Linked DNA regions of Sus scrofa. The protein of the gene in region 2 purifies or fractionates together with the protein of the main gene of each other region. This does not show direct contact. Links are inferred from orthologs where the notes say so. Each region holds a gene or a part of one and is shown on either strand. Other genes may lie near its edges. The genes, in order: IKBKB, TRAF3IP2, CD40 and IKBKG.

Evidence for each region.
Region 1: the proteins of TRAF3IP2 (region 2) and IKBKB purify together in Homo sapiens (affinity purification with western blotting; 3 studies listed by BioGRID, with this or other methods). This does not show direct contact. The link is inferred for Sus scrofa from reciprocal best matches to the Homo sapiens genes TRAF3IP2 and IKBKB.
Region 3: the proteins of TRAF3IP2 (region 2) and CD40 purify together in Homo sapiens (affinity purification with western blotting, with the first as the bait; 3 studies listed by BioGRID). This does not show direct contact. The link is inferred for Sus scrofa from reciprocal best matches to the Homo sapiens genes TRAF3IP2 and CD40.
Region 4: the proteins of TRAF3IP2 (region 2) and IKBKG purify together in Homo sapiens (affinity purification with western blotting; 3 studies listed by BioGRID, with this or other methods). This does not show direct contact. The link is inferred for Sus scrofa from reciprocal best matches to the Homo sapiens genes TRAF3IP2 and IKBKG.

The regions. Positions count from the first base shown.
Region 1 is NC_010459.5:11,286,321-11,294,433, reverse strand, and holds the start of IKBKB (inhibitor of nuclear factor kappa-B kinase subunit beta), read right to left. Parts: upstream 4,101-8,113; coding exon 3,996-4,100; intron 1-3,995.
Region 2 is NC_010443.5:77,508,824-77,516,269, reverse strand, and holds part of TRAF3IP2 (adapter protein CIKS), read left to right. Parts: intron 1-5,460; coding exon 5,461-5,653; intron 5,654-7,446. UniProt on the Homo sapiens protein: E3 ubiquitin ligase that catalyzes 'Lys-63'-linked polyubiquitination of target protein, enhancing protein-protein interaction and cell signaling. Transfers ubiquitin from E2 ubiquitin-conjugating enzyme UBE2V1-UBE2N to substrate protein.
Region 3 is NC_010459.5:48,293,925-48,300,443, forward strand, and holds the end of CD40 (tumor necrosis factor receptor superfamily member 5 precursor), read left to right. Parts: intron 1-338; coding exon 339-400; intron 401-2,887; coding exon 2,888-2,974; intron 2,975-3,105; coding exon 3,106-3,134; intron 3,135-3,672; coding exon 3,673-3,834; 3' UTR 3,835-4,264; downstream 4,265-6,519.
Region 4 is NC_010461.5:125,049,315-125,056,454, reverse strand, and holds the end of IKBKG (NF-kappa-B essential modulator), read right to left. Parts: intron 5,958-7,140; coding exon 5,805-5,957; intron 4,687-5,804; coding exon 4,590-4,686; intron 3,699-4,589; coding exon 3,555-3,698; intron 3,337-3,554; coding exon 3,194-3,336; intron 3,082-3,193; coding exon 3,020-3,081; intron 2,832-3,019; coding exon 2,689-2,831; downstream 1-2,688. UniProt on the Homo sapiens protein: Regulatory subunit of the IKK core complex which phosphorylates inhibitors of NF-kappa-B thus leading to the dissociation of the inhibitor/NF-kappa-B complex and ultimately the degradation of the inhibitor.

The DNA.
Region 1 (8,113 bases), on a different chromosome or scaffold from region 2:
CATCTGCCTGCCATGACCTAGCCCTCGCCAGGGGCTCCGAACAGGCTGCACCCTCGGCCTGGAACCCCCTGTCCATTTTCTCTGCCTGGCTAACCTCTACCAACCCTTGCGCCTCCCGTGTGGTGCTGCTTTCCTGGAGACCCCCTGGCCTGAGGTCCCACTGCACTGGGCCCCTCTCCCGGCTCACGATTATCACAGTTGGGAGCTTACATCTATAAGACTTGATTAATGGTGCTTTCCCTTCCCCAGGAATCCACTTTATCAAGAAGTGGATGATTTTGTGCCCCAAACACGTGCAGAACATAAACGGAGTCGCTATGGGGGAACAGAAAGAAACCCAAAGGCAGACAGAGCCCAGGCTGATCAAGAACATTTCTGCACAGACAAAAAGGCAGCGCACAGGGGCTGTCGAAGGCAGCCCGGGAGAACCATGCCCACAGGCGGAAGAGACCTGTGCTCGTCTGTGGAGGAGGTGGGTGCAGCCCGTCCTGTAGGAATGGGCAGAATTTACAGCAAGACATCCAGGAGACACAGGCTTGTCCCAGAGGGGGCTCGGCGGACTGATCTGCTGGGAGTCCACAGGGGAGAGGCAGGGAGGGGAGGGGCTTCCAATGGCAGAAGGAGAGCTTGGCTTTTGGCTTTTTTAAAAAAAAAGAGTTCCCACCATGGTGCAGTGGGTTAAGGATCTGACTGCAGCAGCTCAGGTCACTGTGGATTTCGATCCCTGGCCCAGGCAGGGGGTTAAAGGCTCTGGCGTTGCCACAGCTGTGGCTTAGATTCAATCCCTGGCAGCTTCCATATGCCGCGGGTGCAGCCATAAAATAAAAAAAATAAAAATAAAAATTAAGAACAAATTAGGAGTTCCCGCTGTGTCACAACGGGATTGGTGGCATCTTTGCAGCACCAGGATGCAGGTTTGATTCCCGGCCCAGCCCAGTGGGTTAAAGGATCTAGAGTTGCCTTAGGTCGCAACTGAGGCTCGGATCTGATCCCTGTTCTGGGAACTCCATATGCCATGGGGCAGCCAAGAAAGGAAAAAATGAATAAATAAATAAAAAAGAACAAACTAAGTTTCTGAACAGGAGAAGGAACGCAAAAGTAGTAATTCTAGAAGATGAATACACACACACACTCATAGCTGTAAAGCCAGCAACAAACTCCATCTGTTGATAGCTTTTTGAGCCCCGAAAGAAGACAAAGGCCAGTTGGGGTGAGAGATGGCAGACAAGTGGCCCATCCTGACAGTCTGGGTTGGTTTTTTTTTTTGGTTTTTTTTTTTTTTTTTTTTTTTTTTTTTTTTTTTTTGCTTTTTAGGTCTGTACCTGCGGCACATAGAAGTTCCCAAGCTAGGGGCTGAGCCAGAGCTGCAGCTGCCAGCCTATGTCACAGCCACAGCAACTTGGGATGTGAGCCACGTCTGCGACCTACACCACAGCTCACAGCAATGCAGATCCTTAACCCACTGAGTGAGGCCAGGGATTAAACCTGCATCCTCATGGATACTAGTCATGTTTGTAACCCACTGAGCCACTACCAGAACTCCCTTGATAGAAATTTTTTTGAAGGAAGCCAAGATGTATCTAGTCCAGCTGTAGTGAGACCTTTGCTGTAGTCAAGACTCTAAAAGCCCCAGCCTGTGTGCAAGCAGCCCAGCCCAGGTCTGTGTGGGGCAGTGGAAGGATCTGGCTCTCCTGTGGTGAGCTAGGCCTCTGGTTGCCCAGCCAACCACAGGGTTTGCTGGGGTCAGAGTTTCCCAGGCGAGTGTGAGAATTACTGCCTGCCCACCTGACCTCTGCCCTCCAGCTCTGGCCCCCACATTCCTCCAGGGACTGTTCCATCTGCTCAGAGCTGACAGGATACAGTGCAGGGCCTCAAATGTCTTCCAACTGATAGAGAGGGTGGTCTGAAATGCCCCCCCCCCCCGCCGCCGCCCCACCGTGGCTGCCCAGTGGCCTGAATGACCCTCCCTGTGGTAGGAAACCTGCCATCTCTTCAGTCCAGAGATGTGCTTGCCGACCTTGTTTAAAAAGAAGGCGCCCTCCCTCAGGGGCTTTGGGGTTCTGAACTTGGAGTCAAGAAGCTAATTTTAGCTATTTGGTGGGTGATGGCTACCTTCGAGCCAATATACAATACTGGAATCCAAAAAAATTCAGAGGAAATTAAGTCTTCCTGATACTAAGTGTACAGCACCCTCCTCGGATCACCTGTCTCCTCTGACACTCGAGGTACCCCAATGAAAAAGGGCATTCCATGGGCAAGGGGTGGACAGAGGCATGCGGGGACATGGGGCAGGTTCTGTGTGCCCCACTGAGGTAGATTTATAAATGATATTATGCAATTTTTTTTTTTTTTTGGTCTTTTTGCCATTTCTTGGGCTGCTCCTGTGGCATATGGAGGTTTCCAGGCTAGGGGTCAAATCAGAGCTGTAGCCGCCAGCCTACGCCAGAGCCACAGCAACGGGGGATCCGAGCCGAGTCTGCAATCACAGCTCACGGCAATGCCAGATCCTTAACCCACTGAGCAAGGCCAGGGATCGAACCCGCAACCTCATGGTTCCTAGTTGGATTCGTTAACCACTGAGCCATGACGGGAACTCTGATGTTATGCAATTTTAATAACATAACTCATAAGATGGATGAGCAGCTTGGAGATCCCTGTGGAGAATGTCAGTGCATATAACACCAAAGTGAATGGGAATATGGAATAATTAACACTGTGGTGTGAGAAACTCACGGCAGACACATAAGGAATAAAATCAGTGAGGCTCTGGAGTTCCCACTGTGGTGCAGTGGGTTAAGTCGCTGCAGAGACACCAGCTGGGGCAGTGGGTTAAAGGAGCCAGTGTTGCCACGGCCTCGGCTCAGATTCAGTCCTTGGCCCAGGAACTTCTATATGCCGCAGGTGCAACCAAAACAAACAAACCAAACAAACCAAAACCCAGTGAGGATCTCCCAGACTAAAGAAAATCGGTCCAAATGATTTAAAATTGTAAGAACTATTTGAAATGAAGATGTTCATCCATCATCCTTAGCAATAATTCTCACTTTTGTGTGTATCCATATAATTCATGTTGAAGTATGGCAAACAACACTGGGAAGACACCATAATTGGTAGATATTTAAAATATTTTTCAAATTAATTTTTTTTCTTTTTTGGCCGCTCTGTGGCACACGGAGTTCCCCGACCAGTGATCAGATCTGAGCTGTAGTTGCAAACTAAGCTGCAGCTGCAGCAATGCCAAAGCCTTAACCCACTGTCCCAGGCCTGGCATTGAACCTGCATCCTAGCGCTCCCAAAACACCGCCAAAACTGTTGCACCACAGCAGGAACTCCTCAAATTAATTTTTAAAACATAAATAATAAACATTTAGAAATGTTTTATTATTTTCACCCTTTAGATCTTTCTATATTTTGGTAGCTTTCATAATGTGATATATATATTGTGTATATTAGTAGGTGATAGTTTAATGTTAGCATAGCTACGTAATTTTAAATACATAGAATTGAAGCTGAAAGCTTACTTTTTTTTAGGGCTGCACCTGCAGCATATGGAAGTTCCGTGCTAGGGGTTCAATTGGAGCTGCAGCTACTGGACACAGCCACAGCAACTCAGGATCCGAGCACATCTGCAACCTGCACTACAGCTCACAGCAATGTGGAATCCTTAACCCCCTGGGCAAGGCCAGGGATCAAACCTGAGTCCTCATAGATACTAGGCTGGTTCGTTACCACTGAGCCACAAGAGGAACTTTGAAAATTTACTTTGCTTTATTTTTTTAACTATTTATTTAGGTGGCATAGTCAATAAAGCTTGGAGATCCTGAACCTAGAGTCAGGTCAGGAGCCCTTGACGCCCCCTGCCCAGGCTCCTTCTCTCATGAAGTCCATGGCCAAGGCAAGCCCCATTCCCAAGGAGCAGAGGCAGGGAGCAGAAGTCTGCCCCCACAACCCCCCAAACCTGCCACCCCGGCTCTTCCCAGCAGCACAGGGCCTACCTGATTGTGCCATCGGATGACGTTCCCAAATCCCCCTGTCCCAAGCCGTTCTTTCATTTCCCAGGCCCCACATGTTTGGGTTGTCAGGGAAGGTGACCAGCTCATACTGATGTCCTGCTAACTCTGTAAGCAATTCGGGGCGGGGGACAAAAAGTGATGGTTAAGAAAAAAATGGAACTCAAGGGCATGGACAAAGTAAGAGATACCATGGTCCTTCCATGTGAAAGAGAAAAATCGGAACTGGTTTTTATCTTGTAAATAAACCAGGCCGTTTGGTTTTGGTTTTAGTAGGAAACTCCTGTCTTCCCCCCCACCCCCAACCTCCCGCCCCCCCTCAAGCTGCATGGAAGCAGAAGGGAGGAGAGGCCCTCAAACTACAAGACCTGAAAGGGGATCCCAAGCCGGACCCCGGCCGGGCGCCCTGCCCTGGTGGCTGGGACGCCTCCCCTTCAGCTCCCCGCGGTCTTGCGTCACCGCGGCGTGGACGAATCACGGCCCCGGCCCGGGCTCCCACCTCGCTGCCACCACCCGGCGCCACCCCGCCAGGGCCGGGCTCGGGGGGCCTTCAGCTCCCACCCCCAACAGGAACTCGCCGACTCAGGCCCCACGAGAACATCTCCGGGGGCCTCGGAGAGATGGGGTGCTAACTCGCCCGGCAGGTGACACCGGCCGCCCGCCCGAGGGACTCACCTGGCGGCGGGACGCGGGCGGGGGCGCGGGTGGGGGCGCCACCCCAAAGACATTGAAGTGCGGGAACCTCCAACCCACCCGCTGAGCGCCACTTCCTCAAACACTTCCTGCTCTGACGTCACGGAGCACGTGGCGCGCGGCCCAGGCCACGCCCATCCCCGCCCCCGCTCCGCCCGCCCGGCTGGGGACCAGCCCTAAAACCCATCGTAAAAGGCGGGAGTTTCCTTTAGAAGTACAGCTTGGACCTGAGCGGTTCCTGGGACCGGGTAGATGGGGATTTCCTCACCCAGCCCTTCTGGGGTCAGCCTGACCTGCTTCCTAGACTTATTATGGGGGGAATTTCCCAGCCCCCGCCGGGATTGATTTAGGGACAGTTTACAAGAATTGCCGTGGCAGTCTGTCCTGGGGGCCGTGCTCCCTCGCCCCCCTGTCTGGAGGCTCCTTGGCTCTTTTCATAAATCACACCTGTAGTCCCTAGACGTGACAGTCCCCTCTCCACCCTTAAAAAAATAAAGAATGGGGGGAAAAATCTGGTGGTTTAATACTAAACTGCAGTTTCAGCCCCAGGGACGTGCGGAAATTTTGAGAATAGCTTTCAGTCCCGGGGTTAATGATTCTCACCTCCCTACTTGGCATCATAAGGGTGTGTGTGTGTTGGCAGGAGAAAAAGCATCAAAGGCAACCTGAGGAGTGCTTATTAAGTGCCAGGCACTGTCTAAACTCTGTACTTGGGTTTCCTCATTCAATCCTCAAGGGAAACCTACAAATTGGACAGTAGTGCAGTATTATTACCCCCATTTAACAGATGAGAAAACTAAAGCACAGAGAAAAAAGTCTTTATCCCCAAATCACAGACTGGTAAGTGGATGATGATCAGATACTCAGCCCCCAGCAGCTAGTTCTTGGGCCCAAGTTCTTAAAAGGCTGTAAAAGTAGGATACAAATAGGTTTAGAAGGAAGCAAACGGGATTTTGAATGCAGATACTGCTGTTGATTACCTCTGACGCATTAGGACAAGTGGCCTGGACCACTCCAGGCATCCATTTCTCTTCCTTGAAATGTTGGCAACTGGAGTTCCTATTTTGGCTCAGTGGGTTAAGAACATAACGTAGTCTCCATGAGGATGTGCATTTGATCCCTGGCCTGGCTCAGTGGGTTAAGGATCCTACGCAAGCTGCAGCATAGGTCACACATCTGGCTGGGATTTGGCGTGGCTGTGGCTGTGGCATAGGCCAGCAGCCGCAGCCCCTATTCCACCCCTAGCCCGGGAACTTAAAAAGAATAAAAGATAAAATGTAGGCCACATTAATGGATGGATTAGTGAAATATGACAGAGGAAGACAATACTGTATGTTATGTATCTAAAAAAACCAAACTAATGACTATAACTAAAAAGAAACAGACTCATAGATACAGAGAACAAACTAGTGGTGACCAGTGAGGAAAGGGAAGGGGAAAGAGGCAAGATGGGGTAGAGGAGTGAGAGGTACAAACTGCTATTTATGAAAGAAGCTACGAGGATATATTGTACAGCACAAGGACCATAGCCAATGTTTTATGACTGTAATTTTTTTTTTTTTTTTTTTTTTTTTTTTTTGCTTTTTAGGGCTGCACCCATGGCATACGGAGGTTCCCAGGCTAGGGGTCGAATTGGAGCTGTAGCCGCCGGCCTACACCTGGGCCACAGCAACTCGGGATCTGAGATGCATCTGTGATCTACACCACAGCTCACTGCAACCCTGGATCCTTAACCCACTGAACAAGGCCAGGGATGGAACCAGCAACCTCATGGTTTCTAGTCAGATTCGTTTCCACTGAGCCACAACAGGAACTCCGACTATAAATATTTTGAATCACTATGTTGTATACCTGAAATTAATATAATTTGTAAATCAGTATACTCCAATAAAGTAGAAATAATTTAATAGAATATTTAAATAATAATACATATTTAAAAAATAATAATAACTTAGGAGTTCCTGTCGTGGCTCTGGAGAAACGAAACCAACTAGTAGCCATGAGGATGTGGGTTCAATCCTTGGCCCCGAGCAGTGGGTTAAGGATCCGGTGTTTCTGTAAGCTGTGGTGTAGTTTGCAGATGAGACTCGTATCTGGCGTTGCTGTGGCTGTGGCATAGGCCACCAGCCTGGGAACTTCCATATGCCATGGGTACGGCCCTAAAAAATAATAATAAGAAGAAGAAGAATAATTTAAATGTAGGCAATATTAGATGAGTTGTATGAGATTGTCATTTTTTATAAAACAGAAACAATTGAAACATCAGCAACATCAGCATCAGGTTTAGCCTAATCAGAGCAGCATGAGGCAGGAGGTGCCAGGGGGGCTATTGTGAAGGACAGATGATAAGATGGCAAGGGCTGTGCCTGACACAGAGGACCCTCCTGCTTGAACAGAGCCCAAGGCTCTAGTTAACTCCTAGGAACACTTTTCAGTCCAAACTGGAGGGGTCAGTGGACCCAGGGCTGCTCTAGGCACGCCAGGACATTCATTATTTCTCCACTTATCCTATTGTCTCTGCTAAATAGCACACTTGGCTTCAAGGCAGGAAGAGAAAGAAACATGGGTAAACAGTTGTAAAACACCAGAATAGTGCCTGACATATTTGTTAAGTGCAAAGTATTTCTCTAATAAATCAACTTTTAAAATAAATTTATTTTCTAGAGTTGGCATGTGATCCAGCCATCCCACTTCTGGGTATATATCCAGACAAAACTATAATTCAAGAAGATACATGCAACCCATGTTCACAGCAGCACTAGTCACAAAGCCAAGACATGGAAGCAACCTAAGTGTCCACTGACAGATGAGTGCATTAAGAAGATGTGGTATATATGCACATAACACACACACACACACACACACACACACACACACAATGGAATGTTACTCAGCTATTTAAAAAAATGAAATTGGGAGTTCTAGTCCTGGCTCAGTGGAAACAAATCCAACTAGGAACCATGAGGTTGCAGGTTCAATCCCTGGCCTCGCTCAGTAGGTTAAGGATCTGACGTTGCTGTGGCTGTGGCCAGCAACTGTAGCTCTGATTGGACCCCTAGCCTGGGAACCTCCATACGCTGCGGGTGTGGCCCTAAAAAGAAAAAAAAAAAAAGAATGAAATAATGCCATTTGCAGCAACATGATGGATGCAGAGAGAGATTATCATACTAAGTAAAGTCAGTCAGACAGTGAAAGACAAATATCATACGACATCACTTATAGATGGAATCTAAAATATCCACACAAATGGGAGTTCCCGTAGTGGCTCAGCGGTAACAAACCCTACTAGTCCAAGAGGATGTGGGTTCGATCTCTGGCCCTGCTTAGTGGGTTAAGGATCTGGCATTGCCGTGAGTTGTGAGCTGTGAGCTGTGGTGTTGGTCTCAGATGCAGCTTGGAACTTCCAAAGG
Region 2 (7,446 bases):
GATTGACAAGTACCATACAGCTCTGGCCACCCATTTATGATTGTGCAAGAGTCATAGTTTTGTTCTGTGGTTTAACGCTGCCTCAGAATGGAGGCGTTACTGTGCTCAAACCCCCCCACCCACCCACCCACGGCTTTCTCTTTTCATTTTTCTTTTTTTTTTTTTTGTCTTTCCGTCTTTTCTAGGGCCGCACTCTCAGCATATGGAGGTTCCCAGACTAGGGGTCGAATCGGAGCTGTAGCTGCCGGCCTATACCACAGCAACGCAGGATCCAGGCCGCGTCTGTGACCTACACCACAGCTCATAGCAACACTGGATCCTTAACCCACTGAGCAAGGCCAGGGATTGAACCCACAACCTCATGGTTCCTAGTCGGATTCATTAGCCCCTGAGCCACGACGGGAACTCCCACTTTCTCTTTTACATCTCCTGCAGAATACACTCTCCTGGTGGAATTTTAGGCACCAAGGACAAGACACTAGGGAAGCTATTTGGGGGCTCTGATTCTTAAGTCTATCACGTAGGTGGCTGCTGACTTGCACGCCTCTCCTCCTCACACAGTGATGAGTTTGTGTTTCAAAACAGACCTCCACAGACACACAGATTTTCCTTCTTCCTCTCTCCACTTATTCTGAACTACTCAAGAGAACTATATCCTATTTATCTCTCTTCACTGCATGCCTAGCCATAGAGGTTCAATAAATATTTGTTGCATGAAGAAAAAGAAATCTGTTTCCTACTTCCTGGAAAAAGGAGTGATCCCCTAATCATGAATAGAGCCTTTGTGACAGCAAGCCTTGGAAAGGCCACCGTGTCTTCTGGGAGAGCAGAGGAAAGGAAGGAGGTCAATGCGATTTGGAAACAGACCTTGTTCATTCATGTCTCGATGTATTTCACAAATATCTGCCCAGTTGTGTCCTAGGCACTGGGTGGGTGGTAGTGACTACAGCACACGTGGTCCTGTCTTGGTGGAGTTCACAGTCTACTGGAGATAAGCCTCCAGATAAGTAGAAAACAGTAAACAAAATAAAGTCAAAGTGTGATAAAGGAAATAGCCAGGTGTCAGAAGAGACATTATTAGACAGGATGGCCAAAAGAAGGCTTTTGGAGGCGAACCCATCTGGGCTGGGATCTAAAGGATGAGAAGGCCCAGGAAGCCAGGAAATTGGTTATCACCAAGGTCCCGAAAGCAAGCGAGTGGAATGGGAGCTGGATGAGCCGGGAAACAACAATTTGCTAGAGGACGGATGAGGCAAGGGCCGTGGTAAGGAGTTTGGATTTTTTTTCTACATTAAACTTCTTTAGGAAAACAGAAAATGGAACACTGTAATCCTGAATAAGGAACTTAGAACTATACTTGGTGTGTAACGAGCACTCAACAAATGCTAGCCATTTATATATATATGGTACCCAACTAAACTAGCAAGCCTTGGTCAAAACAGTGGAATGGAATTATCGAAACTTGAGCAATGAAAAGATATCCATTTACCCAACAAACATAGTTTTTTATTTCATAACTCTTCCACACAGCCAGCCAAATTCCAGACAAAAATCCGTCAAGTTCCACTTACAAAAAGGAAACCTTATTTTTTGATTGACCCTCTGATATTTAATATTTCTTTGTTTTAAGCAGTCGAAGGACAGCCTAGAGAATTATAATGTCAGTACCATCATTTTAAAAATAGATGAGGTGGATCATTTTCATCTGCTCACATAAACCAGTGTAAGTTTTTATCACAGGTGGCCATTTCAGAAATGAGAGTTACAGCTAATCAAACACTTAGCCCACATGCCTTAGTGATTTTAATGATATGATTTGTTGCTATGAGACAAAAACATGTTGTGCGAGAAATAATCTGTTAGAAATCATATGACCTTGATTCAAAGGCTTTTGATTAACAGTGCTAACATCCGCTTTCTGGAAAAGAAACAAACCCTATGATTAGAGCTGGGTAGTCCTTTTAAAGCAAATAAAACATTATGAGCCACTTATTAATGAATATGGGAAGCAAGACTGGCTCTAAGCATTAAAAACTTTCAAGGCCACTGGCAAAGTTGCTCCTCTTTTATCTTGTACTACTTCCAAATGGAAATAGACAGTCTAGAAGACCCAAGACCTAGCAGGCAAATTGTGTAGTTCTACATGGCTTCTTATGTGTGTGAAGTTGGCTTTGTTACTATTCAGTCTTCATCCATAGTGTGTGTGTGTGTGTGTGTGTGTGTGTGTGAAGTTGGCTTTGTAACTATTCAGTCTTCATTCATTTACTTTTTGAGCATCCCCTGGGGTTTGGCACTGGGCTTGGAGACATGGTGGCAAACAGATGCAGTTCATGTTGTCCTAGAGCTTAGAGTCTAGTAGGGAAGGCAGGCAAGAAATTGACAAGTAAGAGTCATGCTTTCTTATACAAACCTAAATCTGATAAGTGCTTGGAAGAAAATAAAATAGGGAGATGGGATAAGGCATCTGGTGAAGGGGTGGGCCTCTTAGAACAGATGATATCTGAGCTGAGCCCTGAATGTCAAGAAGCTGGTCTGTAAAGATATAGGGCAAAAACATTCTAGGCAGAGAGGATGGCAGACTCAGGGTCCCAGAGGTGGGGACCTGTTTGAGGCGTTCAAGATGAAGAAAGACAGCAAGGGTAGCTGGCGTTTGGTGAGCCTAGGAGAGTGTAGTAGGAGGTGAAATCAAGAAGGACGGGGAGGAGTTCCCATCGTGGCTCAGCGGTTAATGACTCTGACTAGCATCCATGAGGATGCAGGTTCAATCCCTCGCCTTGCTCAGTGGGTTAAGGATCTGGTGTTGCCATGAGCTGTGGTGCAGGTCGCAGATGCAGCTCGGATCCTTCGTTGCTGTGGTGTGGTGTAGGCCAGCAGCTACAGCTCCGATTCGACCCCTAGCCTGGGAATCTCCATATGCCTCGGCTGCAGCCCTAAGACTCCAAGTGGAGAGCTGAACCCCTTGGAATGTATCTGACCTGCCCCCAGGAAGGCTATGAAAGCAAAACCTGGGTGGTATATCTTGTCCTAGACCACAGGGGTCTCCATGGTCCTATCTCCCCATTTTTTTCTTTTTTTTCTTTTTTTAAGGCTGCACCAATGCCATATGGAGGTTCCTGGGATGGGAGTCAAATTGGAGGTGCAGCTGCTGGCCTAAACCACAGCCACAGCCATGCAGAATCCTGAACCCACTGAGTGAGGCCAGGGATTGACTCCACATCCTCATGGATACTAGTCGGGTTCTTAACCCACTGAGCCATGCGGGAACACCTGTCTCCTTATTCCTAGAGGTGCTCTCCAAGTCTTGGTCTTTATCAGCCAGAGACAGGGACCTGGGACAGGCCCAGGCAGATCCTTTTATCCTCTTGCCTTTTCTTTAGCCTCTAATGTTATGACCAGGCCTAAGCAATAGCAGGCCAAGGGTCATGGTCAGGGCCAGGAGACAACCTCGGTTAGAGGGGTGTGGTCAGCTTTGCCAGAGGAAGCATGACGGGAGGGCCCAGCTCATGTCACGGGTCAAAGTAGACAATGGGTTGAACACAGGGAACCCAACCAGGCTTAGGAGACTGGCCTGGACATATTACCAGGGTCACCCAGCCAAGTTTCCTGAGTCTAGACAGTGCGGACCTAGAGGCCACCACATTAGGAAACATATTCTTTGTCTTCTGTTCTGTATTCCCCTAAATGTTCCCCTGAAAACTTCAGTGGTTCCTGACTACTTGCCAAACTAAGAATAAAATTCTTAGCCACATTCTCACCCTCCCCATTCCAGTTCTACCCTGCTTTATATGCTGCTTTCTTTCTCTCTCTCTCTCTCTTTTTTTTTTTTTTTTTTCTTTTTTGGCCACCCTGTGACATAAAGAGTTCCTGGGCCAGGGATCAGATCAGAGCCACAGTTGTGACCCAAGCCGCAGCTGTGGCAACGCCAGATCCTTAACCCACTGTGCCCCGCCAGGGATCAAACCTGCATCCCAGTGCTCCCAACACACTGCCAATCTTGCTGTGCCACAGGAGAAGCTCCAATCTGCTGCTTTCTTGCTCGCCTGCTAGTTTTATTTCACTTTATATCCCTGCATATATCCTACCTATGCAGTAGGCAAATCTGGTTATTACTTTTGTAACCAGAAAAAAGAATAAAGACCAATAAACATCTTTTGAAAAATAAAATTCTTCCTTACCCTAACAAGCTATGCCTCCTCAATCATCCAAATTCTTACTTGGGCAGAAGTGGCATTGCTCAGATCACCAGCAGCTGCTGATGGTTCATTTTGCAGGGTTACCCCTGGCTCTCTCCAGTCCCACTATAGGGTAGGGAAGTCACCCACCCCTGAGGTGCATCCAGTCTCTCAGATTTCCCACACTTGAGCCCCTTTCCTTTGGGCCTGGACAGTTCCCTCCAGAGCCTTCCTCTCCGGCCCCTATTGGGCTCCCTGTACCCCTTCTCTGGACTTCACCTCCCTTCTCTCACCTGCATGGGCACATTGCCCTTCTTCCCTCTGGACCCTGCTGCTCCTCGGCCTGGCTGGGACCAGCTTTCTCCTGGGTTCACCCAATTCACTGCCAGGCCTGACTTTGCTCTGAGATCCACCCTCTTCTAACTTCCCTGCACCCCAGCTGCCCATAGCCTTTAGCAAGGGGGCACCGAGAAAGTTGGGAGGTATTGCCAACTTGGTTGGCTGCTTCCCAGAGTTTGAGCCAGGTTTTCATTCATTTAGTTCTTCCGAAGAGAGTGTGTGTGTGTCCACTCAAGGGAAGGAAAGGAGGGAGTCATGATTCTGTATCTCTCATGAGGATGATTTCTCCTAGCCTTGGGTTCTAAAAACTTGGGGAATTGCGGTAGGATTAGTGGTGACCTAGACTCCGTGGAATGTATCTGACCTGCCCCAGGAAGGCTGTAAAAGTAAAACCTTGGTGGTATATCTTGTCCTAGACCAGAGGGGCCTCTGTGGTCTGTCTCCCCATTCTTAGAGGTGCCTTCCATGTCCCGGTCTTTATCAACCAGGGGCCTGAGATAGATAGGATGGGTTTGGATTACTCTAAGCATTTTTATTTTTTTTCAAATTCATTTTAATTGTTTCATGTTAATTCCATTTAGTTTTTTGTTTTTGCTTTTTTTTTAAAAAAAAAAAAAAAAAAGCTTTTTGTTGCCAACTGTGTTAATATGTTTCTTTCTAAGTGTCTTATTTAAATAGGAACCTGTGTGGAGCTTTGTGGTTTCCAATCAGAACACCAAACTCATGATTTCACGGGTGTTTTTATTGAGGAAAAAAATAAAAACAATGACTCAATGGAATGAAAACTAAATAATAGTAGAGGAAAAAGGCAAACATCTCGGAGGTGGTAAATGATATCCAGAAACCTCCATTGGTAGCAAGACAAACATTGGCACTGAGCTAACCTGCCCCTCCACACAAAGCTACTAGAATCAGTGGTCGCTGTTTTCCTTGCTGTCCTCACCCACAGATGGCCACAACTACCCTCGAGAAGCCTACCAGCAAGTGATCCAGCCTGCTTTCCATGGGCAGGTGCCCCCTGGAACCAGTGCAAGAGGCCCACACCCTGTGCAGAAGGTCTTCCTGAACTATCCCAGCCCCTGGGACCAAGAGGAGATACCTGCAGCAAGAAACTACTCCTCCCCGGGGTTCCCGGGGTATCAGTAAGTGTGATGGGGCCAAATTTCAGGCCGTTTTCACCTGAGAAAGAAGGATGCCAGTGCAACCAAAATGCACAGAACTCTGTTGTTGGGGCCCAGGTTAGTGACTGAGTCACACGGGCTTTCCAGGGCAGGAGGAATCAGGAGCTGGTTGAGAAGAATCTCTTCAGTAGGAGTTCCCATTGTGGCTCAGTGGTTAACAAATCCGACTAGGAACCATGAGGATGCAGGTTCGATCCCTGGCCTCGCTTAGTGGGTTAAGGATCTGGCATTGCCATGAGCTGTGGTGTAGGTCCCAGACTCGGCTCGGATCCTTCGTTGCTGCGGCTCTGGCGTAGGCCGGCGGCTACAGCTCTGGTTAGACCCCTAGCCTGGGTACTTCTATATGCCATGGGTGCGGCTCTGAAAAAAGACAAAAAAAAAAAAAAAAAAAAAGAATATCTTCATTAGATGCATGGAGCCACTGGTGACTAGTCAAGATGCTCTTTTGGAAAGGCTCTTTATATGCTAAGTCACAGCTCTCAGTTCACCTGGCCTTTTAGCTCATGTCATAGGGTTTTACATTTAGTGACAGACTTCCAGTGCTATCAAGTTCTTTTTGCTATCCCTGGTTTCCATACCTGTTAAAACCCATTTCTTTCTTTGAAATTTTAAATTCAATTAGTTCTCAATAGATACTTAAAATAGCCTGTTATTGTCTTTTGTAATAAAAGCATTCCCTGGAGGTCCCATTGTGGCTCGGCAGAAACGAATCTGACTAGCATCCATAAGGACACAGGTTCGATCCCTGGCCTCATTCAGTGGGTTAAGTCTCCGGCGTTGCCGTGCGTGAGCTGTGGTGTAGGTTGCAATGTGGCTCAGATCCCACGTTGTTGTGCCCATGGCATAGGTTGGCAGCTACAGCTCTGATTCGACCCCTAGCCTGAGAAGGTCCATATACCATGTATGCGGTCCTAAAAAGCCAAAAAAGAAAGAGCTTTCCCACATGTTGAACACCATTATTAGATCTCTCCCATACTCCTCCCAGAAAAACAATTTTGGTTTCTCTTGACTTTAACTGTCTAATCCTTTAATCATTGTTCTCTTTGTTGTTCTCTTTGACTCTTCACACTTTCTTTTTCTCTTACTTTATGAATCTAAAACACATAGGAAAAACTCATGTAAATTGGGCTTCCTAATTTATGACAAAATTGGAAAAAGTGTAGATACAGTGTTTGCTCTTATTCAAGCACAACTTTTATATGCCACTCAAAGTAAATCTATATTCTGTTTTGACAATGGAGTGAGATATGACGGTCCTATTAAAGCAGTTTTTTGGGGGTTTTTTTGCAGAAATAGTGAAATCAGTAATTAGCTCAAAAAGTTTATTGAAAGAAAAAAAGCTGACTCTATGTACAATACCAGATAAGTCACATCTGCTTCTCCTCTTTGCTCAAAAGCCAACAAGCCCTCAGATTTTCTTTGCAGACAGATGCTTAATTTTTTACAAACAAAATTGCACGGAATTTAAATAATGGAATTAAGTCATGATTTTACAGCCAGATAAGCACTCGTGCAGAAAAAGTATCTAAAATCCCAAGAACACAAACAAAATTTAAGCATCTTTATGTTTGGTGTTGAATAGGAGAGGTAATAGTAATTTTTAAAATAAATGTTTATTTTGAAATAATTTTAGATTGACAGAAGAATTGCAAATATAGTACAGAGTAAGTGCTTTTGTAACATCAGTTTAAGCCAACTTAAATTGATGATCGCCTTGGATTTTTTTTTTTTTTTTTTTTTTTTTTGGTTTTTTC
Region 3 (6,519 bases), on a different chromosome or scaffold from region 2:
CACCCCCACCATCTCTCTATTCCAGTCACTACGGATTCTGATTCCTCTGAATGCTTCCCAGTTCACGTTAGCCTATATCGCAAAGCTTGGCACACATCAGAGATTCGCCTATGATTACGCCTTTAAGATGTGCAATAATCTCTTCTCTGCACTCTCAAGTCCCTAAGAACAGAGTCGGTGTCTTTCCTGTAATAACCAGCCCGGGAGGGTATGCATAATATGTGCTCAGTGGGCCTGGACTTGCTGGTTGCTGACTGTCTCCCTCTGGGGATGGAAATCTTATGACTGGGGAAACTTAATCTCCCTTTCTGTGTGTGTGTGCACGTGTCTGTACACAGCTGCGAGAGCAAAGGCCTGGTGGAACAACGTGCGGGGACTAACAAGACCGATGTTGTCTGTGGTAAGTCCCAGAAAATGGGCCCTAGCAGCAGGCTAGGAGGATGGGGAACTGAGGGGGTGATGAGGGGGTCCCCTGGAAGCACTGGTAGGGAAAGAGGGAGGGGAGGTGAAGCGAGAGGAGGAGGCGGTTTGGAATTGTGGTGGCCCAGCTCTGCCACTTTATCTGTGGAGCCTGGGCAAGTCACCTTCCCTCTCTGCACCTCAGTTTCTTCTTCTGTAAAATGGGATACTACCACCTCCCTTAAGGGTTGGTGCAACGGTCTAGGGTGGGTTCTTGCCCTCTCATCACTCTTCTGCCGCCCTGCATAGTGAGGACCAGTATGGTATAACACTGTTCCCTCTTGGGACCTTTTTTTTGTTTTGTTTTGTTTTGTTTTTTAGGGCCACACCTGTGGCATATGGAGGTTCCTAGGCTAGAGGTCTAATCGGAGCTGCAGCTGCCCACCTACGCCATAGCCACAGAAACAAGGGATCCGAGATGCATCTGCGACCTACACCACAGCTCCTGGCAATGCCCCGTCCCTGACCCACTGAGTGAGGCCAGGGATCAAACCTGCAACCTCATAGATACTAGTTGGATTCATTTTGGCTGCACCATGACGGGAATTCCTCGGGGCCTCTGTTTTGATTTTAGAGTGAGGAAGCTGGCCTGTAGCACTGATCGCAGACTCAAAGAACTACAGGGGGGAAAAAAAAGTCAGGATCATGTTCATGAGTGAAAAAGGTCAGGGCAGAAAGAATACACCCTCTGCGCTTTTTCATAAAATTCGCTTTTCTCTCCATGGGCCTGGGACTAGAGTGAAGGGAGGCACTCACCTTGGGCACAGTATTTAGGGGGGTGCCAGAAAAATGCAGTAATTAAGACAAAATGCAATATATACTCTTTTGGCCATGCCTGTGACATGTGAAAATTCCCAGGCCAGGGACCAAACCTGTGCCATTAGCAGTGGCCTGAGCTGCAGCATTGACAATGCCAGATCCTTAAACCACTGCACCACAAGGGAACTCTTCAATATTTTTAAAAAAATCAAAGTTAATGCAAAATCCATAATGAACAAAGTAGCAACACTGTAAATAAAGACAACATGCAACTCTGCACTTGTACAACCTTGCTTCACCTGCCTCACCGTAATCCTGGCCCTGGTTCCAATAAAACTTTATTTAAAAAACAGGCAGCTGACCTGTAGGCCAGAGTTCATGGACATGATTTTTTTTTTTTTTTTTTGTCTTTTTGCTATTTCTTGGGCCGCTCCCGCAGCATATGGAGGTTCCCAGGCTAGGGGTCTAATCGGAGCTGTAGCCACCAGTCTACGCCAGAGCCACAGCAACGCAGGATCCGAGCCGCGTCTGCAACCTACACCACAGCTCATGGTAACGCCGGATCGTTAACCCATTGAGCAAGGACAGGGACCGAACCCGCAACCTCATGGTTCCTAGTCGGATTCGTTAACCACTGCGCCACGACGGGAACTCCATGGACATGATTTTTTGAAACACGACACTAAAGTATTGTCTAGTTCTCTTGTGGCTCAGCAGGTTAAGGATCCAGCACTGTCACTGCAGTGGCTCGGCTCGCTGCTGTGATGCAGGTTCACTCCCTGGCCCAGGAACTTCCACATGCTGCAAGTGTGGCCCCCCAAATTATTATCTTAATTACTGAGTTTGTTTAGTGTCCCCTTAAATTTTGTCCCAATACGAGTATGTCACTTGCCTTAGTCCCAGTCCCCACCCTGCCTCTTGGTCGTTCTTTCATTTTCCCATTTAGAATAGAGGTCGGGTACAAGAAATGCTTTCCCTTCCACTGCATTCTTCTCTATCAAGGCAATGGTGCGGACCTAAGTGATGCTGTACCTTGGTGTTAGGAAAAGAGCTGCGGTGGGGGGTGGGGAGTGTGCTGAGCTGGTGGAGACTGCTCTCACTCAGGTCTGGCCAGTGGGTGCCAGGGGGGGCCCCCTGGGGCTGCATCTTCCAAATTTCTAAGAGAAATCAGATATCCAGGTTTTAAATATGCAATCTCCCAATTAAAAAATGTTGGCAGGAGTTCCTTTCGTGGCTTAATGGTTAACAAATCCGACTAGCATCCAGGAAGACGCGGGTTCGATCCCTGGCCTCACTCAGTGGGTTAAGAATCCGGCATTGCCATAAGCTGTGGTGTAGGTCGCAGACGCAGCTCGGCTCTCACATTGCTGTGGCTCTGGCGTAGGCCGGAGGCTATAGCTCTGATTCGACCCCTAGCCTGGAAACCTCCATATGCCACAGGTGTGGCCCTAAAAAGACAAAAAAAAAAAAAAAAAAGTTGGCAAATATTAAGAAAAAAAAGCATGCCAGTCACACTAGAGACATCTACTGTCTACGTTTTGCCAGGGGCCACCTGTTTGAAACCTGTGATATAGATGAGTTTAGACACTGAAGGATTTGAGAGTCCAGCAGGGCGCAGCGGCTTTGGGCAGGGGGTGGGGAGCCATTGCTGAAGTCTCCATTTCTCCAGGTTTCCAGAGTCGGATGAGAGCCCTGGTGGTTATCCCCATCACGCTGGGGATCCTGTTTGCCGTCCTGTTGGTATTTCTCTGTATCAGTGAGTCCCCAGGCGGGCAGGTGCTGGGGGAGGAGGGAGCAGAAGGTACCGTAGAACCGGCCACCTGTTTCCTGATCTGGCCTCACAGACTCCCCACTCCACTTTCTCTCTCCCCACCCCCTTCTCTCTAGGAAAGGTGACCAAGGAGCAGGAGACTAAGGTAAGTCACCCCAGGGAACGGGCTTGGTTTGGGCACACCGGAAAGAAAGACTGACTCCTTGTTGTCTGTATGGCAGCAAAACTGATTCAGGGTCTGTTCCTGCAGCCCGTCGGGTGGCAGCAGAATTGACTACTCATCCCCTCCCCTCTGCTCCAGGGCTCCTCCCTTGCACTCCCTCAGCACCAGCTTTGTCATCTCCCCAGCTCACCTTCCCACGGGGCTGTCCCTGCCCCACTGGCAAAGTCTGACATGTGCTGTTCCCCCATTCGATACATGCGACAACCTCATCTTTGGGGCCTTGCTGTGGGGTCCATAGGTGGGTGCTGGACGGACAGCTCCTTGAACCCACTGGCTCTGGCTACCAAAGCTTCCTGACACCCTCAGTATGGCCAGCAGGGGGCAGGAGGCACCCGTTTAATCGACTGGCACTGACCCTCCTTTTGTGAAAGGGGAAGGGGCTTGGGGCCAGGGGTGGGATCGCTTCCAGGGAAGGGCTCAGAGATGTTGCTAGAGGTAACCCCAAGCCTTGTCTCCCCAGGCCCTGCACCCTAAGACTGAAAGGCAGGATCCCGTGGAGACGATTGATCTGGAGGATTTTCCCGACTCCACCGCTCCGGTGCAGGAGACCTTACATTGGTGCCAGCCCGTCACCCAGGAGGATGGCAAAGAGAGCCGCATCTCCGTGCAGGAGCGAGAGTGAGGCTGTGCGTGGCCAGGAGCGTGGAGGCACGGGCACAGGGGCATGTGACTGGAGAGCCCGGGGCGGCTGCTGCTGCTGTGGCGGTGGTGAGAGGGTGGTGCTGGGCACAGCCCCCTCTGCCTGCACCCCTGCAGTCCAGATACAGTCCACCTCGAGGAGCTTCTCACCCCAGCCCTGGAGCCCATTCAATCTCAGTTTGCTTTTAAAGATGGAGACAAAACTTTGGGGAGTCACAGCCACAGTAATAACCACCAGAGCTTCCAACCCAGAGGTTCAGTACCTGCAGATGCAAGGGATGGCGTCTAGGAGCCCAGGAGGCATATACATGACTGTCCACCACTGCATTGTTCGTGACAGTGAGTGACTGGAAACTGCTTAACTGTCCATCAACAGGGGACTGGCTAAATAAAATTGTAACATGTTTATGCAACAGGATCTCAATAACACTGTCATGGGGGAAAAAGCAGGTTTCGGAATGGTGGGCACAGAAAATTTTTTTTAAAACACGTAACCCCACATAATATATCCTTTACGGATGTGTGTATAAACATAGTATATTTATAGATGTAGGTATGATGGGGTGCTGGCGGGGTTTCTGGGAGAATGCACAGAACATGCACAGCTCAAAGAATTGTAACATCTTGGATGAGGAAGACGGGTACGGGGGAGGGTTGGTTAAAGAAAGATCTGACTTTCCCATAATGCTTCATTTTTTTTTTCCCCTAAAAGGAGAGTGAATTCACACACTGCTTATGTAATTAAAAAGTCATCAAACATGTAAAAAGAAAAATGGGGGTGGACATGCTGGGTGACATGAGCTGTTTCGCATGCTGTCAGGCTCACAGAATTAGGGCACTTTCTGAGGGTGAATAAGAATGTCCCCAGGCGGCTGCCCCTCCAGGGCAGTTTCCGTATGCACTCACATTTGGCATCGTGTTTGCAAAGGGTTCTCCCTATTTGATTCACAGTAATAACAGCAGCCTTTGGAGCAGGCTGGGCCAGCATCCTGCCCTCCCTCTGCCCCTCCCTCCTTGTTTAACAGAGGTGGAAATGGAGGCCCAGAGAGGTGAAGTCACTAACTTATGGTCACACAGCAGTTCAGAATGGTGTCACACAAGTTCCTTACTCCTGGTCCTTTGCTACTTTTCCCAGCCCTGCTTGTTCTCTGGAGCCTCTATCTGCAGCCCCTGCTGTCCTGGGGAGCCCCTGGGCGTCCCACCTCCTTTTGACCTCCCAACTGCTCTAGGAGCTGCTGCTTCTCAGTCAGATGGTGCCCCCTTCCCCCCAAGCAGTATCTCAGGATAAAAATAAACCGTCCTGTTCTCTTTTCCTGCTGTGCCAACTGAGGGGGAGCCTAGCCAGGAGGAGCAGCAGATGGAGTGGGAGCAGAGGGGAGGGGGGGAGAGGGGAGGAGAGGAAGGTTGTAGGACAAGGAGGGGAAGGAAGAGCAGTGCAAAGCCCCAGCACGAAGATGCATGGGGAGGAGGAAGCTGGGCTGATTGAACCCAGGGATCTCACCCTTTCTGCCTGTGCCAAGTTGCTTTGGATTTCCCAGTGTCTCCTGCTGCCTAGAGGGTGGAGGAGGAGAGGGCTTGTCCCCAGTGGTGGCTATGAGGGCAGCTGGGAGCCACAAGAGGGGCACCTGGCTTGGCAGGCTTCCCAGAAGAGCTTCAAGAACCATTTGGATGCACCAGGGGGAGATGTTTGATTTAGAAAGCAGGGCAAACAGGTGGAGGAGAGGTGGGGAGAGGGGAGCTCGCTTTTGCCCCCTACCTAGAGTCTAAATGCTAGCATGACTTCTGTACAAGACAGTGTGGTGGAGAGAGACAAAAGACCCACCTCTGCCACCTCTTATCTGTGTGACCTGGGGTAGGTCATGTTGACCTTTTAGCATCTCAGTGTGCTCATCTGGCAAATGGAGACAATCCCCGTAGCAGATGCTCTGGATGCTTCCTCTGTTCCCTCCTAGGTCACTGGTTCTCGATGTTGAGTGTGTATCAGAAGCCCCTATGAGACTTGTTAAAAGACAGATTGCTGGGCCCCCCCCTCCAGAAGGATTTAGCAGGTCTGGGATGGAGCCTAAGACTTTGCATTTCTACAAGAGTCGCAGGTGGTGCTGCTGGTCCAGGGATCGCACTTTGAGAACTACTGCCCTTGGCACTGGCATTTCTAGATACATAGTTGGTTTCCTGTTGCAAGCACTTTGAATCCCTTACCTTGGGCCCTTCCTTGGTTTTGAAGATGCACTTGGTGTAGGTGTGGGGCAGGTGAGACACACCTGAGAGAGCTAGAGCCCCAGAATACCCATCCAAGTAGGAGTGGAAGTTGGAAGATAAACGCCCCTGCTTCCTTGCCCTTGGGAGGGACAAATAGTGTGTTCTATAGCGCCTCCTAGGTCCCTGAGAATGATCAAGTCACAGACATTCTCTGCATGAGCTTCTTGCCCTTCTCTGTCTCACTCCCCACTGCCTGCCCCCTCCACTGGTGCTTTCTGGGTTTAATTCTAAAGTAAACTACCTGCTTAACTTCCTTGTTGCAGAGTCTGCTTTTGGAGAAGGTCTCCTCCTCCAGCCCCCACCACCACCACCCAAGAGTCAGCAGAGGTCAGTCATGATAAGGTCCAATTTTGTACATCTTAGCATCCCTGACAAAGGGAAGGCGTTGTTATTCTTGGCAGCTGTAGGA
Region 4 (7,140 bases), on a different chromosome or scaffold from region 2:
GCACATGGATGCAGCTCTTACGTCTTTATTGGGGCCAGACTTTATACAGGACTTTGTCTATTCGGCCAGAGTGTGCCCCGGGCGACAGGGTGTCCACAGCGCTGGCTGCAGAGGCCCGTGTTGTCCAGAAGTGCAGCCTCTGATCTCACCGTGGTCTTTGGTGGCGACAGATGACAGAGCCGTGAGCCTCTAAAATGCCGAAGTCTCTGTGGGTACCCACTGTCCCTAAGTGCTTGTTCCGTCCCACAGAAGGGGCGACATCCCAGGCCTGTCCCTGCCCCTTGCCAGGAAGGCACCAGAAGTCTTCACTGGTTGCTATGTTGACGTCCCATTTCGTCTGGGTTCCTTTCTTACTGGCTGGCTCGCTGTGGAGCAGCGGGGAGCGACACCGGGGCTGTGCGTCCAGCCGTCTCTCTCCCTCCCACACCCAGGACGGTGACGAGCAAGGGGCCACAGCTAATAAGGTGGGCAAGCGGCTTCCCTCATGGCAAGAATCCGGCCACTTGTTCCGGAAGCCCAACCTAAGGAAAGCCAGAGAGACAGTGGAATCACTCATTTCCGGGCCACCGGCCTGCTTTCAGACCCTGGGTCTCTAACGGACGCTCGGCCCGACACGGAGAAGGTGGCAGCGAGCAAGGGCGCCCAGCCTCCGGGAATAGAAGGTCCGAAAGAGCAGTGGCCCCCCAGGGCCCAGGCGGGGGCGATGGGAGGCTCCCGGCCGCTGCTGGGCAGCCTCTGGGGGCGCCACCGCCAGAGCCCCGGCGGGTTGGGGGGGGGGCCCGCGTCCTGCCTCCTCCTTGAGCCCCTCTCAGCAGCACAGTCCCAGCACCCAGGGTGCAGGCGGCCCAGCAGCTCCACGCCCATCACCCCGGCAGTGGCATCCAGCTGCAGAGCAGAGGTCCTGAGGATCGCTCGCCCCCCAGCGCCCCCCCCTCCTTCCACCCCGCTTGGGTCTTCCTCCCACACCTGCAGCTGACAAGCAAGTCCCCAGGCCAGGCTCTGCTTTCAGAACAGGCCGCTGGCTGGGCCGGCTTCCAGCAGGAGACCCAGACCCCGACCCTAGGGAGCAGGGGGCCCTGGACAAAAGCCGGGGCTGGGCCCGTGACCTCCACTCCCCAGCAGGCCAGCCCTCGGCAGCAGCGGGGGGGACATCCTTCCTGACAACTGCAAGGCCAACGCCCATGGCTTTGACAGCCTCGGAAAGAGCCAGAATCTTGCAGAACAACACGCAAGAGGCCTGCGCTGTTGGCAGTCTGCCAAAGATTACCAAGTGGCTGCCACTGGCAAGGCCAGGCCATGCAGGGCTGGTGCAAGAACAGCATGAGAGACTTTTGGAAGGTGATGAAACACGCCCCCCTGCGCTGGTTGTGTGGCAGTGCTCTGGGGAGGACAAGGCACACACTGCAGTGCTGGGAAAACGTCTGAGCAAACCCAAAGCCGTGACGGAACAGTGGAGAAATGTGACTACACGAAGAGAACCAGCTCGAGTCCAAACACACCAGCACCAAGTTGGTGGGAAAAGATAACTGCAATTCCTCTCACTCCATCCCACTAACGAGTCAAGAGCCTCTAGTAGAAGTCAAGGAACAAAAGACCAACAGTCCAGCAGCAAACAGGGCAAAATGATGGAAAAAAGCCATTTATACTAGAACGACTGAAAAGGACCCTTCGAGCTCTGGAAAGATGCTCAAGCTTTCTTTTTGCCTCACCCGCGTCATACGAAAGTGCCTGAGCCAGGAATCAAACCAGCGTCACGACAGTGACGACTCCATATCCTTAACTGCGAGGCCACTGGAGAACTCCTTCAAGCTTCAAACTCTCTTTTCTTTATTTTTCTTTCTAGGGCCACACCTGCGGCATATGGAGGTTCCCAGGCTAGAGGTCGAATCGGAGCCGCAGCCGCCAGCCCACACCACAGCCATGGCAACACCGGATCCTTAACCCACTGAGCGAGGCCAGGGATCGAACCCGAATTTTCACAGGGACTACATCGGGTTCTTAACCTGCTGAGCCACAAGGGGAACTCCTATGCTCACTCTTACGAGAGAAGAGCACGTCTGGCAGATGGCACAAGCCCACGGGCTGGACCCCCCTGACGTGGGGCAAGGCTACGGGGCACGAAACCACTCCTGGGGGAAGGACCCCGGCACGACTAGCCCCTCTGCAGAAGCTCAGGGGTGCTGCTTCTAAGAAGCCAACTCAGAGGTACACACGATTGATGGCCAGGGCTTTGCAGTGCAGAGTCATTTATGACCATAAAACGATGATCGGTAACAAACCCAGTGTCCATGGGCAGCGGACAGGTTCGATCCAACTCGGCGCAGCCGCCACCAGGCCACCACTCAGCCCACGCCCGCGGCGCTGCCCTGTGCCAGGCGGCTGGCAGGAGGGGTCCCGCCCGTCTGGGCCGGGGAAGCAGCTCCTTCCGAGAGCCCGGCCTTCACTCCTGACTTCGCTGGTGCAGGCAGAGGATGAGCGAGCTCCAGAGACAAGCGGTTCAAGCAGACAGAACAAACAGAAAGAGCAGAGCGTCAGGCCTGGCTGGGCTCCGTGCGCCCAGAAAGAGGTCGACCAGCAGGCGGGGCGGAGGCGTGAGGCCCGCAGCTGGCTCCGGGGCCCAGAGAAGGGGCCACCCTCAGTCTCGGAGCAGGAGAGCGCAGCGTCCTGGGCTGGCCGGCGGCGGGCGGCCTACTCGATACACTCCATGACATGGATCTGCAGGGTGTCCATGTCGGGAGCCTGGTACTGGCACTTGGGGCAACAGAAGTTGGGGGGCTCCTCGGGGGGGCTTCTCCTCTGGCTGGGCAGGGCCGGGTGAAAGGAGTGATGAGCTGCGGAGAAAGAGCGGGCACCGTGGGGGCGGGCTCCGCGGGCGTCCCCACGCGCAAACTGCAGGGGGCAGAGGACAGGGACTCCATGGGACCCTGGGATCCAATGAGCGGGATCAGCAGCCCTGAGGGGGAGGGGTGGCGGGTGCAGCTGCCCCCCGAGCCCCCCCCCGGCCCCCGGGCTCACTCACCTGGGGCGGGGGGCAAGGTGGGCTGGGAGACCTCGACGTGCCGCTTCCTCATGTCTTCGATCCTTGGAGAAGAGAAACCGTCCGATCAGCAGGGACGAGCCAGTCTCCCCCGCGGGGAAGCCGACGGGGCGGGAGGGCGGCGGGGAGGGGGAGGCCCGGCCCCAGCGCCCCCACCTGGCCGATTCCTGGCAGCTGGTCTTCAGCCGGCTGTACTCCCTCTGCAGCTGCTCCAGCTGCTCCTGCAGGAGCTCCTTCCTCTCAGCCAGCTGCTCCCGGGCCTGCCGCTCGGCCTGGAAGTCCGCCTTGTAGATGTCGGCCTGGCAGAGCCAAGACAGGGGCAGCGCCCGCCGGCCGTCGGCCTCTTGCCAGACGCGGCTGCCGGGGCACCGGCAGAACCCGCTCCTGCCCCCCCAGAGCCCGTGGCGCGAAGCCGGTCACCCCGAGGGCCCGGAGGGGTCCAGGAACACCGCGAGGGCCTCGAAGTCACAGCGCGCCCAGGCCAGGCCCCCAGGCAGGCCCCCCAGGCCAGGCTCACCTGGGCTTTGAGCACCGGAACCGTCTCCATCACAATCTTGTGCTGCTCGGCCTCCTCCTTCAGCTTGTCGATCACTTCCTGTTTGGCCACCAGGGCCTCCTCGGCCTGCTGCAGCTGCTGCTTGAGGTCTTCCAGCTGCAATCCCTAGAGACGGGCGAGGGGCTAGCAGCCCGAGCTGGCCCAGGCCGGCTGCCACGCCAGGCAAGAACCAAGAGGAACCAAGACCGGCCCGGCTGCCAGGCCGCGCCCGGGGCATCGCTGTGCGCGCAGCCCCGGAAAGCGGAGGCGAGGCCGGAGCGCTGCCTCGCCCTTCCCGGCGGACAGCCCTCCTCCGGCCCTTCGAGGGGCGAGGGGCGAGGGGCGAGGGGCACGGGCCACCGTCTGTCCTGAGCGGGTCCCATGCACTAATGCGCCACCACATGCCAGCTCAGCTGAGGCCCATGGGTCCTTCCACTCTGCCACCTGGTCAGAGGTCTGCTGTCCCTCACATGACCCATGACCCCCCCTACACACACACACACACACACACACACACACACACACACGACCCCCCCCCACGCACACACGCACACACAGACCACTCACAGACCATCCAGCCCTCCCTCCCTCTGCAGACCAAAGGGTCACGGTTTTGTAACTGACTCTTTCTCACGTGACCAGGCTCTACCCTTACAGGTCTCTTCCAGACAAGTTCACGCTGGACGGCGTCCTTCTTAAAAGGTGATCACTAGAAACCGCACCCCGTGCAGGTTAGATGAGGACAACCTAGAAAAGGGCTCCCAGCGCCCCCCAACGGTAATACGGAGACATTTTGAGAGAAAGCCAAGCCAGGTGCCAAGCTGGCGCCGACAGCCGGCGGGAGAGACCCGCCACGGACAGCAGCGTCACCAACCCCCTGGGCTGCTCCCGGGTCTGGGAAGGTGGGGCCTGGGATTTGCCCGAAGGGGGAGCTCCCCTGGTCCCAGGCTGCAGGGAGAGCAGCAGGGCTAGGTCAGCCCCAGGCAGCCTGGGGGACACCCGCCCCCAAACACTCACTCGGTTGCGCTCGCTGCTCACCACGCTGCTCTTGATGTGGTTGTCATACTCCTGGAAAAGCTGGTGGTAGGCCACCTGCAGCTGGGCCAGCTTCCGCCTGAGGCAAAGGAGCTTTGGCTGGAGAACCACCCGGTCCTGCCCCAGCCATGGCTTTCACTGCTTCCACCTGCAGCCTCTGCCTTCTCACCGTCTCCGCACTACACAATGTGCCTTCCAGGGAGGGCTCTGCGCCTCAGAGGCCGTCAGTCAGCCGCGAGGCAAGCTTTGCCAACTCGTTGACATCACTTTTCTTCAATGTAGCATTTTTTAAAGCATCAGAAGAAACACTTATAATAAGATACAGCTGTCCTCGGAGTTCCCTGGTGGCCCTACTGCGTTAAGGATGCGGCACTGGCATCAATCCCTGGCCTGGGAACTGCCCCTTGCCACGACACGGCCAAAAGAAACTTTTTTTTTTTTTTTTTTTTGGCCATACCTGTGGCATGTGGAAGTTCCTGGGCCAGGGATCAAACCTGCACCACAGCAGCAACCTGAGCCACAGCAGTGATAACACTGGATCCTTAACCCACTGAGCCACCAGAAACATTTTTTAATAAAAATTAAAAATAGGAGTTCCTGGAGTTCCTGTCGTGGCTCAGTGGTTAACGAATCCAACTAGGAACCACGAGGCTGCGGGTTCGATCCCTGGCCTTGTTCAATGGGTTAAAGGATCCGGCACTGCCGTGAGCTGTGGTGTGGGTCGAGATGCAGCTCGGATCCCGCGTTGCTGTGGCTGTGGTGCAGGCCGGCAGCTACAGCTCCGATTCGACCCCTAGCCTGGGAACCTCCATATGCTGCGGAAGCGGTCCAAGAAATGGCAAAAAGACAAAAAAAAAAAAAAAAAAAAGTCAGCTTTAGACGTCCATGATGGCCTAGTGGGTTAAGACAATCTGGCACTGGCACTGTCACAGCTCAGGTCACTGCTGTGGCTTGGGTTCGATCCCTAGCCCGGGAACTTCCGCATGCCATAGACATGACCAAAAAAAAAACATAAAAAATATATTTTAAAAGTCAACTCCATTAAAAATCGGGAAAAGCATAAGGACGGTCTAGACTAAAGAAGACTCAAAGGGCATGCAAGTGGCACACAGGACCCCGGCCCCGAGGCTTTGAACACGTGGGCCAGAGGGTAGATCTGAACGCGGGCAGGCAAAGGCCGCCGCAGCCGGCACTCACTTCTCCTCCGAGGCGGCCTGGCGCTCCATGCGCAGGGCGGCCTCCATGCTCTGGCTCTGCAGGCGCAGCTGGTCCACCTGCACGCTGTGCTGCTGCTGCAGGGCCTCCCGCTCGTTCTCCAGCTGCCGGACCTGCTCGCTAGTGGCGCGAACCCTGGTGGCAGGAAGGGGAGGTCACCGGAGGGCCCCAGCAGGAGCAAAAGTGCTCGAGGAACCCTGCAGCACCAAGAAAGACTGCAGCAGAAGGCACTGGGGCCAGGGGTGAAGGAGGGGGTCCCAGGGGAAAGAAGCCCCAGGGACCTGCCCGTGGGGTTCCGAGAGGTGGGTGCTGGGGGCCATGGCCAGAGCAATCTCAGTGGAGGAAAGGAAGTAGAGCCAGTCAGCAAAGACAGCCTTTCTAGAAGGTGGGGCGGGCGCAGGTGAGAAGTGAGGTGAGGCGGGGGTGGGGGGTGGAAAGTGGGGTCAGTGGCTCCACGGCTCCCCCACCCCGCCCGCCACCACCGCTCTAACAGTGGCAAGGAGGTGGCTGGCTGGCCCATCTGGAGTCCCAAACGTCTACATCTGCGAGATCCTCCCACCTGCCTGCCCGGGAGAAGATCCTGGATCCATCCACACTCAAGCTGTGACAGCTCGGCTCTCCTCACCCGGGTCCCCCAAGGGGCCTGACCCTCTGATGGGGGCCCGTCACCCCACGGCCCCGCCTCGCATCTCCACACTCATGTCTGCTCACAGCTCCCTCCATCCCCAGCTCCAGGCTGCAGCCACGTCATCCTGTGTCCCGGGGGCGACAGTGGCTGTTCTGAGTGGGGGGCGGCTCCTGGCCCTCTCCTCTGGTCTCATCTCCACACCTGGCCAGCTATATCCAACTCAGATGTCCATCTGTGACCCGACAAAACTTAGCTGCCGGCATTGTCATCGCCAGACGGAAGTGCTGTCTGCCAGGGGCCCGAGAACAAGGAGGACAGCCGTTCTGATGTGACAGGCCTGGCGCTCAAAGGGCCGCCACATGTACGAAGTCTGGATCTGTTTAAATGGCCACACCGAGCGATGGGAGACGCAAGCAGGCTCCCTGCCCTGAGCTGCCAGCCAGCATTTCCATCTCAGCCACGTGGGGGGACAAGAGAGGAAGATGCCCAGAGCCTGCAACTGCGGGGTCATTAACTGAGCAGAGTCAGCCACAAAACTGCAGACAGCGTCACGCCTCCAGCAGTCTCTTTTATGTGCACAGAAAAAAGGCAAGAAACACGTGGCAGTGTCCTAGAAATGACACACGTGCCTCTTAGAGAAGTGGGGGTAGAGACGAGCCCGGCGGGGAACCGGGAAGGCGACCAGGCCAG